2 linked regions of the Lytechinus pictus genome follow. The protein of the gene in region 2 purifies or fractionates together with the protein of the main gene of each other region. This does not show direct contact. Links are inferred from orthologs where the notes say so. Each region holds a gene or a part of one and is shown on either strand. Other genes may lie near its edges.

Region 1 (7,665 bases), about 6.7 Mb from region 2:
ATTTAAATTTTATTATTTAATTTAATTATTAGATAAGGAAATTTGAATTTTATTTCTGTAGTTAATCAATGACCTGCTGTCAGATATGTCTTACAAAAACCACTGAAAGTACATTTCGTCAGTGATTTTACGAACTGGCGCAAACCTAATTTCGGCCAAATTTTTGAAATTTATTTTTTTGCATATTCTGAAAGCCTGTGATTTAATCTATTGATTTGCCAAATTTCAGATAAAAATTTGTATTATTTAAAAAAAAGGGCATATTTAATATTTGTACGTACCGGCTCAACCTCCTTTGATTTTATGAACTTGCTCAAACCATTCTTTGTGTACTATAAAGTCTCTGGAATGGTGCGCACAGGTCAAAGACCGACCTAGATGCGGCGCTTATGCCGGTGCGTATGTGCTTTGCGCAGGGTTTGTGCCTCTAAAAAAAACATACGCATGGCATGAATGATTTTACAAGCTGGCTCAAACCGTGGTTTGTGCCGCTAAACAGCAGTGGGCATGGTGCGCGTTATTTTACGAACTGGCTCAAACCCCCTGTTTTGGGTAAGAATTAGCAGCTCCTGAAATGCATACAAGCGCTTCCTTTTTAAATATTGAAAGAATAAATAAGAATTGCAAACAAAATTTTGTATATTACAAAAGAATAGACTGTATGCTTTAAATTGTTATAAATAATTGATCTGGTTTCTTTCAAAGCGCAAAGTTATGAGCTTCTGAAAAACATCGAAACTTTGAATGCAATTATCTGGAAATCATGTTTTGGAGACCAGCTGAGGTTTGAGCCAGTTTGTAAAATCACTGACGAATTTTCCATAGAAACTTTAATTGGTTTTTCTAGTTCTAGAATTAAGATCAATGTCACATTTCACAATATGCAAGGAGACGGGGAGTTGTGCTCCCTCTTTCTAGACACACTTGAATGTCCTTCTAGTAAAAAAGTGTTATGATGATTATGATAATGATGATGATGGTGGTGGTGGTGATGATGATGATGATGATGGTGTTGGTGGTTATAGTGATGGTGATGATGATGATGACAAACTACTTTTAAGTTAAAGCATATATACATATGAAAATCATAGAATTTACTTTTTATGCACGTTTACAGGGGAGGGGAGGGGACTAGGTGCTATTATAATTACAAGATATATATGCATTTTAAAAAAGTACCATAAATAATCTTACTTTGATTTTCAAAGTACCCAAATCATGTATTTTGTCATGCTTTCGTTAGCCTAAATAATGTCTAAAATATATGTTTTCATGTTAGGATGAAATATATACCCTTTCTATGCACCATACACACAAGGCTTTTTAAAGTATACATTTTATTCCTGATTTGGTTATGATACATTTCAAAGTACATCGCCCCACGGTGATAAACAACTCTCAGTATTTGTATGCTACTGTGGATGAGCATTGTGTCTACTGTGCACTATAATGGAATTGCCTGTATTGAATAACTAATGATAACTTATGAATATAACATTAGATACTTGAAAATTATTGATTCCAGTGTGTGAAAATGAAAGAATAAAATAAATGTAGGTATATGTATAATAATAATACTGTTTTACATGACTTTTTGTTGAGACTACAGTCATCTTGGTTGGCATGTTTTAATTCAACATTTATAAGTGTCATTCAGATGGTATTTAATTAGTTTTTTTAATGAAAAAAAAATTAAGGAAAAAATCTAGCCCGAAATCAATCCAACATGAATGAAAGTGAGTGATGGGTAATTTTACAATCAAGGTAACCCAACTGTCGCATTTGATTTTCTTTTGTGCATGTGTGTGTTATAAACAAGTGAAATGATATTTCTTTGAAATTTTGAGGCATATTATTTCTATAAAGATTCAGTCATGTAATTTCATGTGCTGACATTTGCTTTTTTTTTTTTTTTGAGAAGTAAGTGGATGTGGGCAACATTCTAAGTTTGTTGTATAAACAGCCAAACCTGCATTAGTGGCCACCTGTCTATAGCAGCCACCTGCCTGATGACTAGAGTGTCCACTAAAGCCAGTTCCCATAGAGGCAGATTGTGGGTGTAAGAACCCGTCTATAGCAATCCCCTGCTTATTCCCTTGAAGGCATATTGTGTGTATAAGAACCTATCTATAGCAACCCCTGCTTATAGTGACCACTAAAACTGATTCCCTTAGAGACAATTGTGTGTATAAGAACCTGTCTACAGCAACCCGTGCTTATAGTGACCACTAAAACTGATTCCCTTGGAGGCAGATTGTGTATGTAAGAATCTCTCTCTAGCAACCCCCTGCTTATTCCCTTGAAGGCAGATTGTGTGTATAAGAACCTGTCTATAGCAACCCCCTGCTTATAGTGACCACTAAAACTGATTCGAAGGCAATTGTGTGTATAAGAACCTGTCTATTGCAACCCCTGCTTATTACCTTGAAAGCAATTGTATAAGAACCTGTCTATAGCAACCCCCTGCTTATTACCTTGAAAGCAATTGTGTGTATAAGAAACTGTCTATAGCAACCCCCTGCCTATAGTGACCACTAAAACTGATTCCCTTTAGGCAGATTGTGTTTATTATAAGAACCTCTCTATAGCAACCCCCTGCTTATTCCCTTGAAGGCAGATTGTGTTTATGAGAACCTGTTATCTGTCTATAGCAACCTCCTGTCCATAAAGGCCACATTTTGTGTTTCCCTTGGGTGTCACTATGACAGGTTTCACTGCATAGACAAAAGCATTCGTAATTGATTCATGACTATGTGTAAAAATATCTAATTCAGAGCTAGAAAACATTTTTGGATAGAATTTGCACCCCATTTTTGGTTAATAGTCACCAAAAAATTTCAACATCTTTGGGGGAATTTCATTTTTCATTTTTGAATAAGGTTTGATTGGCAAAACAATGCCTGATTATTTCTAAAAATAGAATGTGCAGGCTCGAAATAAGGGAAAATTAAACTAAATGAGAGTAATTTTGGCCCTAAAATGCCTGCTAAAGGTAATATATAGAAAAGTAAACTTGTATTTCAATCATTTTCTTTGCAGGTTGCTCTGTAAAATAATATTTAAATTGTGAAGCAAAAGGTCACACAATTATTTCTCTAGTTATAGGAGATAAATCTTTTAATTACATATTCCATCGATTCATTTTTTGGAGAGGACGCTTTGGACAGAAATGGATTTGGCAACATAGGAACATGAACTACATGGCGCGATAGCTCAGTCGGTAGAGCGGGGGTTTCGAATTTTGGTGACCCGGGTTCGATTCCCAAGTGGTGCGCTAGTGCCCTTTGGTAAGGCATTTATCCTCATTACCAAGTCCCTCGGAGAGGACCTTAAGCCATTGGTCCCCTGGTTGCTTGCTCACAGGCATTCATGCTTTCTTAGCAGTCAGGTAAAAAACCTCGGTATAACTAAAATAAGTGGATGCGTGTGGGCAAAGTGGACACTTTAAAGGGGAAGTTCACCCTGACAAAAATTTTATTGTAAAAATAACACAAAGCACAACAGAAAATATTGTTGGAGGTTTGAGGAAAATCCATCAGAGATTTAGAGATGAATACCAGTTGTGGTAACGATCTCAAAATCAGTTCGAACAGAATCCAATAAAATTATCACCAAAGTGTTTGTATGTAGGTCCTATAATGAAAAAAGATGTTCCAAATATCTCTGGAAGAAAATGCGTAATTGCTGACAGAAGCGGATCTAGAGGGGGGGTTGGGGGGGTTGCAACCCCCCCAAAAAAAAAAAAATCCGGGGACCATTTTTTTAAATCTTATCTTTTTTTTTAAACTTGTAATTTTAGAAAACGCCATTTTCACACACAGATTTTCAAAAATTTTCCCTACTGTGGGAGGGGGGACACCCCCCTCCCACACCCTCCCCCCTCGCTCGCTCCGCTCGCTTGGACTCGGTCGCTACGCTCCCTCGCATACCACCCCAACCCCCCCTTTATAAAAAGCTGGATCCGCCCCTGGCTGAGAAATGAGCAAAATAAGCATGGAATTTCATAAAATGTCAGTTATTTTTCCAAGCAATATTAATACACTGTTATGGCTTGATGGTAAAAATTATCGGTTTTCAGCTAAAACTTCATGATTTCACAAAGATAAGTTATATCAATGTACCAGATCTCGATGTATGATAAGGTAATATTTTAACAATTAACCTTCAGACTTTTTCATTAAATAATTGTTTGCTTCAACTACTTTCTTTTACCCTTAAATTCTATGAGCATTTTAATTTTTTATTTTTGACATCACATGTGAGCATCTTCACATGTATCAAGAATTATGAAAAGTCAGTCGAATGTCACTTTCTCAAAGAAAAATTAAAAAGGGTTTTTAACAGGGACGTCCCCTTTTTTCAGTTACAAGTGTTAGCTTTGTAGACAAAACATTATTAATTAATTTCTAACTAGATCGAACTGTTATACATAAAAATACAGAATTAGGAGAGGACATTTTCAAACACCCAATTTTCGGTTAATAATAGTATCAGAAACAATCAAATTATCTGCATAATTGAATCAACAAATGGATTGCTGGTGAGGAGAGAGGGAAAAAATAGGAATTCTTGTCTACTATGTTCAAGTTTTTTTCCCCGATTATGTATAACTTTGCTATAGTACGGTATTACTGGTAATAAATAATCGGCTACGTTCAATTATTTCTGCTACGTGTTATTCAATTTGGTTGGCGAAAATAAAAGGGAATTTCGTATTTTGATTGCAGCCAGGAGGCGGATGTTTGTAAGTAGAACTATACAATCGGTATAATATTGTAGCTCTTGACTAATATTATAGATTGATGTGTTGGCTGACACTTGACAGTGAGGTTTTAAGTTTTGTAGAGCTTTGTTTGAGCCGTGGACACTTGAGTCGGAGACTGAGCTGATGCGCAGTGACTGATCTGTCCTGGCTGTGTCTGATGTGGCAATGCGCCACAACTGAGCCGTGGCGCGGCGGCAGCGCAGTGGGCGCTGGCCGGCGGGCACCTCAGGCGATGGTTCGTGTGTATGTAGACAGCTGGCAGACGTCTGTTTCGAGGAGTCTTTTAAACATTTTTAAAAATTTCTCATAATGAGTCATATGCAGACGGCTCGGATCATGCAGGTTAACAATGCAAAATCCCCCCGATCAATGTGCTCATCGATTTTTTACTTGGGCCCTAGTTATATTTTGTCTTTATTTCATTAAAAAATATAAGAAATAAGAAGAATTCAACTGGACCAAAATAAAGATTATTTTTCTGTTTTGGCCTGAAATGCACCAAAACGGGAAAAAAATAAACTTAAAAGGACAAAAACAGTGATTTACTTCGGCTGTCGCGCAACTCCCACTTTCTTGGTTTGTCCGAACTTAATATGGCCAGAGTTCCTGTAACGTTGCAGATCAAGTTAGAAGTAGCCTAGGTATATAGAACTTCTGTCTCTGTCAGGGTGACCAGATTTCACAAAATGAAATACGGGACAATCGACAAAGCACGCTGCACGAGCGGGTGGACCGAGCCAGGTCTTAAAGGACAAGTCCACCCCAACAAAAAGTTGATTTTAATAAAAAGAGAAAAATCCAACAAGCATAACACTGAAAATTTCTTCAAAATCAGATTTAACATAAGAAAGTTATGACATTTTAAAGTTTCGCTTAATTTCACAAAACAGTTATACATGTATGCACATCCTGGTCGGAATGCAAATGAGGAGACTGATGACGTCATCTACTCACTATTTCTTTTGTATTTTATTATTTGAAATATGAAATATTCTAATTTTCCCCTCATTGTCAAGTGAAACAACGATTAATTCCTCCCTGAACATGTGGAATTAGCATTGTTTAATGGTTCAGTCAAGTTGGCCCTTATTGTGAAATCTGTAAAATATGAAATATTGTATAATTCAAACAATAAAAACAAAATAAAAAGTGAGTGATTGACATCATCGACCGACTCATCTGCATGTCACTGAGTTGTGCATATCAATTATCACTGTTCTGTGAAAAATAAAGGAAACTTTAAAATTCCATAACTTTCTTATTCTACATCCGATTTTGATGAAATTTTCAGCATTATGCTAGTTTGATTTTTCTCTATTTATTCAAATCAACATTTTTCTGGGGTGGACTTGACCTTTAACAGGGCGCGACAAAACCGCTTGCCTGGGGGAAGTGAAAATGACCTGCGGGCAAGCATTTATCAAAGTCAATTGCCCGATCGGGCAAGTGGTTGTTTTGAAAATGAAAACGATATTACAGTAAATTTTAATAATTTTTCGATAAATTGCAATTATCGGCCAATTATCTCTCATAGTCATACAAAATGTCATACCAGTAAAAAAACAGTGGGAACATGTCAAATCAGCGCCAATTTACCGAAAATTTATCGCCAGCGGTCCTGTTCGATGGGGGCTGCCATCTTTATTTCTAAACTATACTGTGCGCATGCGCTACTAATTGACGAAGGAGCTAGCTGGGGAAACCCCTCTCTCGCCCTCTTAGCGCATGCTCTAATACATCGGCGCTACAGTACATGTACGTACGTACACGAGCGATCGCGAGCCAGCCGACTCTCGAGCTAGATCGCGCTGAATGCATGCAAGCTTCGGACTGACTCGGCCAGGACTCGGCATCAACTTCAAACCAAATAAACAATGAGTCGTCAGACTAAAATAGGTGACTTTTGTTGTCGCGATCGGCGACCAGAACAACTTGAACAAGAGTCAAGAAAAAGAAATGCCGAGGCCAGCGCCAGTAAATCAAGTTCAACCAGGACAGAAAAGAATAATTAAGAGCTAAAGAATTTTTGAAAAATATCGGGCAAGCAGTTTTTTCTATCGGGCAAGCAAATTTTTTATCACTTGCCCGACATGGGCAAGTGATGAAATTCTTTTTTGTAGAGGCCTGCTTTGTTAAAAAAAAGATGAACAAAGAAGGCTACACAGTGTTAGACTTCACTTGTGAAAAAAATATAAAGAATTGGAAGGGAGGGTGAACAAAAGAATGAAGGGGAGAAAGAAAAGACGAAAGAAAAGAGATGAATTGAGAAGAAAAACAAAATGAAGGGGGAAATGGAGAAAATTTAAAAGAAAGGTTAGAATAAAAGAAGAATGGAAGAAAGAATAAAAGAGAGAAAAAAGGTTTCCATCATTCTTTGAAATGAATATAGATAGAAAGAAAAAGAAAAAGAAATGAAGGAAAGATGAATAAATGTGTGAAAGAAAAAGTAAAGGAGAGAAAGGAAAAAAAAAGTAAGAAAAAAGGAGGAGGAAAGAAAGAATGAAAGAAATAAAACGGTTTCCTTCATTCTTTGAAAGAAAAAAAGAAAGAAGAAAAACAGGAATGGAGGAAGGAAGAAAGGAAGAAAGGAAGGGAAAGAAAGAATAATGGAAAAGAATTAGAAGGAAAAATAAAATAAAGAATGAAAGAAAGGATGAAAAAGAGGGAGAATAGTATGAAAAAAGAAAATAATGGAAGGAGAGAAAGAAGGAAAAGAAAAAGGAGAGGAAGGGAGAAGGATTTTTTTTTTTTTTTTTTTATATATTTCAAATAAAAAAAGTAAAATGTTTTAGAAATGAATAAAATTTCAAAGTGAAACATTGTCAAACTTAAAAAATAGATGAAACATCGCGGCCATACACAGGCATCACTCCCATCCCATTACAAGGTCGCAGCGATCA
Region 2 (7,219 bases):
TTGATCGAGGCAAGGATACATCTTTTCTTCATTTTACAGAGAAGCTTTAAGGGTTGTAAGAAGAAAATAGGAGTAAGGGACGAATACCCTTTTGCCATTTGATCGTTCACCAGAGTAAACAATCGAATAGTTCGAACAATTGAGATTTCTGGAATGTCAGAAATTACAAAAAGGTTGACCTACTTACATTTTCTTGGAATATGCGCAGTATAAAGAAAGATTAGAGTCTAACGAAAATAGTGGGCCATCGTTCAAGATATGTCATTTAGATCTAGACCTAAAAAAAAAAAATCTAGACCTAACACTAGATTCTAGATCTAGTAGGCCCGAATTGGGCGACATGATCATGATGATTAACGTACATGGAGGCTTGCACTAACGGACTACCGTTACCGTCGGTGAATGGGGATGATACCAGGGGGGCCAGTCAAATATATTGCTGTACACACGCGTGACCAAGGAATTTTCAAACACCCCCTAAACGAGTTTTTCTCTGTGTGCAAAATAACCCCCTAAACAAGTTTTTCGCGAGCTTTATTTACACATTTTTGGCCCCTAAACAAGTTGTCGCCAAAATATGACCTCGGGGAAAAAGCTTTGGGGAAAAAAACATGTATACCCTAAATACGTTTGAACCCGTGATTTACCATTGACCAGTCTTTCAAACAACCCTTTTTCTTGAAAATTGGTGTATTCGATACCCTTATTAAAAGGAAAATGAAAGGATAGATTTATTATCTGGTCATAAGCCAATTACACTTCACTAATTAAAATAAAATTAAAATGAGGCAGAACGGTTTCCTATTTCCCATGATATGCCAACTCAAAGTTATCAATATTTTGATATTCGAAAGACCCGTGGAGGTCGCCATTTTGCTCATACTCCCCATATCTCCGTGGGGGGTTGTGACGTCAGCGACGTACACCTCAGTGTCCAACCCCGGCGAGCGCCTGTGATTGCTGGCGTAAAACAATGCTGATCAGGATGGTATACTGCCAAGCGTATGGCTGCTGAAATCGGTCAGAAAAGGGGACAAAATGCATCTAGCTTTTACCTAATTCACGATCCGCAGAAGCTGAGGCCAGAAATCTCCCTAAATAAAAATTGGGTGGCTGCTGCTGACCGTGCGCCAACGTGCCTCTAGGCTCTACTCTATAATACCTCTAAGTTAGCTCTGCTCGTTGAGCGATTTCTTCGGCCGAGTAGATCTATTTGTGGCTCGAAGTCGTAGGCTCTCGGCCATCCTTTTCAATACAAACGTCCGCGATATGTTTTGTTTTATTTAAAATCGACGGTAACAAATAATAAACAACGTTAGATATATAGAAATATAACACAACAATTTCCCGATATTCAAACGGGATAAATAACCAAACTTCCAACATAACACGATCACTCGGTTCAGGGTACATGACGGTCCGGACAGTACGTACAAATTTAGCTTTGTCAAATTTGCCAATTTGGATATCGTGAATAAATTTGTAAAAATTTTCATCAAAACTCATCAATTTGTGTTTTTAATCCATAAAATAATTTAAATAGCTTTTTAATATTATTTCTAAGTGTTTTATGTGTATATTTTATTTATTTCTGGTAAAAAAAGTATCTATATTATGCAAACTTGGGGGCAGTTTCAGCCTGTATAGCTAGCTATGCGTTATGCACATGGAAGTACCGATACTACCGAGAGCAGTTGTACGTCGCTGACGTCACAATTTTGAACAAACCCCACAACAATGGCGATCTCCATTCAGAGACTTCGAACCTGAAGAAGCCCAACTTTGAAGAGGTGGTACTCGATACTGGGAAATCAGATTGGGGTATAAGTGGATTCATTTTGATTGGCATGTACTTATCAATGATATTATGTGGTATTCAATTTTGGGTTTCATTCTCCTTTAACGCGTTTTTTGGTCACGCGTGTGTACAGTAATATATTTGACTGGCCCCCCGGGGGATGATAGTATGGCCATACTTCGCGGAAGGTCATTATCTCAAAGACTAGCCGATATCCTTAAAATCTGACATCATCAACATAAAAAGCGACCTAAAATTACCCTTTGGCGTAAGTTTTGTTAGGATAAGTTGAGTATTCATGAAAAGATTGGGAAATTTGTCACCGTTAGCGCCCGTTCCGAAGAAATCTGATATCCTCAACAAGCATCATGAATTCATGATATCATTTTGCAAGCAGATATCATAAAAATGTGAGTTCAATCAATGTGGAACTCACTGATTCTTTTAGCATTTTGTCGTCAATCTGATATAAAATTCTACCTTTTTGAGCTTGATTTTTTGTTTGAATCTCCACAAAAACTTTGGTCCGCTAAGTGAGGTCATACTTTTTTCAGAACGGTTTCCCAGCACAGCTTGCATTCATCGATCGGAATAGAATTTTTGGATCGCGATACCGGCGAAACTCCATGAACTACTTCACATTTTCGTCAATGATTTTATATCATAATTTACAATCTTGCCGTCACCCGTCAATGTGGTAACTATTTCGTTGAATTGGTTTTGTATACTTTACTTGTGAATATTTTGTAAAAAAAAAAAAAAAAAAAAAAAAACGCGACGCTCGCGTCCGTAACGTTGGGGAAGTACAATAAGAAACAAGATGGCGGCGTAAACATCGGGCAAGTCTCTTCCGTTTTTTCACAATGTTTTTCTCATTTTTTTAATGAATTCTTGTTTAAAAATAACAACGAGAGCGTAGAAATGTCGGAAATGAAGTTTTATCCCAACAACATGATTTAGAGCTAGATATTTTAGTTAAGGAAAGTAGAAATCTCGGGGGTGAAAGTTTCAGGTTTTGGGCAAAATTTGGGGTCCTTCGTGTAGGTGAATAGGGAGGACTCCCTGGCTTCATTTAGAGTAAGCCTACGTTAGTAAATGATTTTTACTCTCAAGAAGCCGCCTGGCTACGGCCGGCCACGCACGCGCCACGACGGCAGCGCTAGCGGAGCCTCCGTCACACACCACTGTCATGACATGACTATCTCAAGACTCAACTGTTACACACCAACACGGGCAGCACCACCTTCGTTCGTCGACTCACTTCGACTTGTTATCGTATCCGAGTCGTACATGTTTAATTTCTCACCTTCCCATTGATTTCCTTGAGACATGTTTCGCATTTTCCTCTTACTCAATCCAAGGATAATACGTACAGTAAATACTTGCAGTTCAATTTGGCTGAAAATTAGAAAAATTGAATATCAAAATCGTCACCGTTCGACTACGTGGAAGCTCAGTCAACATAAACAATGAAGATATCGGCACTATTTAATTCGCGCAGGAGTGAATCGTTTTGCCAATCTTGCAAGGCAATATTTAAAAAAAAATCAATAGTTTTGAAATTATCATATGGTTCGAATTATTTTCTCCTTAAATAATTTGTTTTAATATTATGCATTAAAAATGATTTTTTCATTATGTGTTTTGAATCAAATATTTTTATTTAAATAAAATAATGATGTGCTCACTCGTAAATATATCTAAATCTTTCTTGCCGAAATATTTCGTTAGTATATTCAGAAAACAATGTTTATTGCATAATAGTTGTTATGCTCCAATATGGAAGTGAGTGGAACTGGAAAGTGGAAACAGCTTATGGTTTAGTCACTGAGAATTTTGAGGAGCGAGCTTCATTAGACTAGAGATATATGCACACTGTTTGAGAATTTGAGAAGAAAGATAGACTATTTGGATTGTACTCTCAAATAATTAACTTTGCTCGGCTACCCCTCAGGGCCCAGACTTAACTTACATGACTTAAGTCTTAAAAAGACTACATTATAGTACAACATCCTGCTGTCGAGCTGTCCTGTCTATATTTCATTCATTTCAATGGTGATATCACTCCAACCCGGGACAAGTCAGTCCAACATTAGATTTGGATTGGAACGAATATAAACAGAAGCAGAAAATATTGGTCTAGATATAAAGTTCGAGTTGTACTTGTAGGCTATCAGATCAAAATATTACTTAGCATGGTTTAATATTTCTGCTCTGCATCTACACAGATCAGTTCTTTGCATTGTGACAGTTTCCATCATGCATATAATTATAATACCCCAAGTTGCCTACCCTCTTTGCTTACTCAAGATGTCCAATATAGAATATGACAGGCAGAGATCTAATTTCTTTTTTCCCTCCCACAGGAAACAAGAGGCTGGCAATATGCTGAGTTGAATTGACACAGCTCAGATTATAAATTATGGATAAGTATATCACCAGAAAAAAGAAAGTCAAGAAACCTGCAGAGATAGGATTGGCTTCAGGTAGCCAACATGATCATGATGGAGAAAAGGATGAAAAGAACGAACCTACATCTAAACGGTTGAGAATTGATAGCAAGACTGAATCTTCAGAAATAGATCTTAGGATGCTCCAGCATATCCCACAAAAGAAAAAAATATCCCGAGAGAATCTTGACTGTGATTACTTGCATCTGTATTCAAAGAAAGAGGCAGATATTCTGTTCCAACGTTGCGAGGAGTCTCTAGATTATTTTACGGGTGATCTTGCAAGGATTAAAGTTTATGGAAAGTGGCATGATATTCCAAGAAAACAGGTAAGTTTTAAAAGTTAGCCTTTATCATATGACTTTAATACCTTTTAAATAGCTGAACGTCTAGTTTGCATTCTGTTATAAACCAATTATCAATATACAAGAAAATGTTTGAACAAGTTGTGAACCTGTGATCAATTCAATTTCAAAAATGATATAAAAAGTTTTCATTAAATTTATATTACAGTATCAATGGAAAAGAGTGATGTTCAGTTTTGTCCTATTTATCAATCATTTTCTAACCCTATAATTATCTTGTTTTTCTATGTTGCCTGCTCATTTTCTGATACAATGATTTTTTTTCCATGTGGTGATATATTCTTACATTCCAAAGATGTTAATGTGTTCTCAACTTAGAACATCTTTTTCCCCCCTCACCCCTCACATGCAATGATCTGGTATGCATTGTAGCCTTTTACATTACACAAATTAGGAGGCATGTTTTAGCATTATTCATTTAAAACCAAAGCAGCAGTAGTGCCTGTAGTGGAACATATTGTCATACAGTGATGACTGCCTATTAAAAAGTAAAATAAGAAGTTCAGTTTTTGTGGGTGTTCTTTTACTTAGAAAGACTCAGTCATTGTCCCCTGACAAGAGTTTGTTTCTCCATAATCTACTTGAAAGCTTTGCTTTGGGTGCTAATTATTAAAAATTAAGTTGATCAATTCAGAATATTCGCTTTTATTCTGAATCTGTGCAGGTAGCACATGGTGATGCAGGTGTAACATACAAATATTCTGGAGTGACTGTTCCAGCTAAACCATGGATACCACTGTTATTAGAAATTAGGGATAGGATTCAAGAGGTTACAGGGTTCAAATTTAACTTTGTTCTCATCAACAGGTAAGGTTTGATTCAATTCTTAATTATAATTGTATTTTTCTCTCTCTCCCTGTGTATGTCTCTCCCTACTTCTATCTCTTTATTTTGTCTTATTATTAACATTGTTCAGTGTACTAAAGTCACACCCTCTCCCCTCTCTGTCTTCTCTCCCACTTTTATATGGTATGTAGCCATTTTTATTTTCTATCATTTCATCTACCATTTAACAGGAATAGTTGACTTGGTAGGCAGATTGTAATACATCATTTATATATGAAAAATTAGTTTAAAAATATCTCAAACATTTGACCAAGACACTAATTTCTGTCATATTGTCTACATCTAGGTATGCCGATGGAAATAACTACATGGGTGAACATCGGGATGACGAGAAAGACTTGGTTTCAACTAGTCCTATAGCGTCCCTGTCTCTTGGACAGAACCGTGACTTCATCTTCAGGCACTGTGAGGCCCGAGGATCTCAGGCCAAACGAAAGATACCACCAGTCAAAGTGGAGCTAGAACATGGGAGTTTACTCATGATGAATTATCCTACTAATGTTTACTGGTACCATTCGCTGCCTGTCAGGAAGAAAGCTTTGAATACCAGAGTTAATATGACATTCAGAGATATTGTAACTGTCAAGAAGTGACCAGTGAGAGGACTTTTTGGGAAATAGGTTACAGCCAAAGTGATTTTGTATGTTTGTCTTCTTACCACTAAGATTTAATTGCCCAATTAGAATCTTCTGTTACAATGACATATTCAAAAAATATAATCGATCTTCCATTCCATTCCAGTTTTGGTAGATTGTTTGCCAAAAGATAATGCTTGATATCACTAAGAAGATTGTGTTTTGTATACACAGTGTTCGTTTAGAATAAGGTAGAAGACTAGAACCAGAGTTCACTTCATCTTCAGATACATTTATCAGCACACAAGACCTTATTGTTGGACAGTGAATATCAAAAAGTAATTTCTGACCTTGGATAATTGATTAATTTTGAATAATGATGTTGTATAAAAAAAATCTAGAAGTCAACATTTCAAATTGTTAATTACATCTAGAGACATACATCCAAAACAAATCCTGATTATGTCCTCATGAGTATTTTTTTTTTCTTTTAAAGGAAGGTGGCTACACTTTTTTCATCAGGTGGGACTAGATATAGGGAAAGAGGATCCACAAAACATTGTGCTCCCTCCCTAACTCCCATCTTACTGAGATATACACATAACAAGAGTAGATTTAATCCTAAAATGTAGGTGAATTGACAAAGCACTCCATTGTCTGATAAAAGCCAAAATATGATTACAGTGTAATGTACTAACTGCTAGAACTTGATGTCATGACCAACTAAACATAATGGTCTGATTGTAACTTTCAAATTAATAAAGGATTGTTCAAATACTATGTATTGGACACCATATTTACTTTGTTTGCACAGTAGTTACCTTTCATGTAACTTATGAATACACATGATTTTCATATATCAATACAAATTCTTAACTGCCCTAGGGCAATTTATCAAAATGATTCAAGTCTTATTACGAAATCACATTTAAATTCCAGTTGAGTGTCTTATAACATATTACTGCCGCAGTCTCAGTCATATCATGCTGAGGGGATGGGTGCAATCGCATATTGATCAAATATCATTACAGATTTACTATCATGTGCAATTTGGCAACTTAGGCATGACTTTTATTCAGATTTAAAACTTTGTGATACATGTCCAGGGGGGTGTTTCACAAAGATTTAAGTATGAGAGTCACACTTAAATGTAGCCTGATGCGTACGTGATATGCAACACGCAAT

What was found. Proteins that work in one complex are often made in the same cells at the same time.
Region 1: the proteins of Golgi SNAP receptor complex member 1-like (region 2) and BET1 homolog purify together in Homo sapiens (affinity purification with mass spectrometry; 3 studies listed by BioGRID and IntAct, with this or other methods). This does not show direct contact. The link is inferred for Lytechinus pictus from reciprocal best matches to the Homo sapiens genes GOSR1 and BET1.

Annotation. Positions count from the first base shown.
Region 1 is NC_087246.1:2,291,945-2,299,609, reverse strand, and holds the start of BET1 homolog, read left to right. Parts: upstream 1-4,643; 5' UTR 4,644-4,744; intron 4,745-7,665. UniProt on the Homo sapiens protein: Required for vesicular transport from the ER to the Golgi complex. Functions as a SNARE involved in the docking process of ER-derived vesicles with the cis-Golgi membrane.
Region 2 is NC_087246.1:8,978,987-8,986,205, forward strand, and holds the start of Golgi SNAP receptor complex member 1-like, read right to left. Parts: upstream 3,005-7,219; 5' UTR 2,990-3,004; coding exon 2,905-2,989; intron 1-2,904. Other genes in the region: DNA oxidative demethylase ALKBH2-like, read left to right, coding at 4,221-4,577, 5,278-5,420, 5,746-6,052. UniProt on the Homo sapiens protein: Involved in transport from the ER to the Golgi apparatus as well as in intra-Golgi transport. It belongs to a super-family of proteins called t-SNAREs or soluble NSF (N-ethylmaleimide-sensitive factor) attachment protein receptor.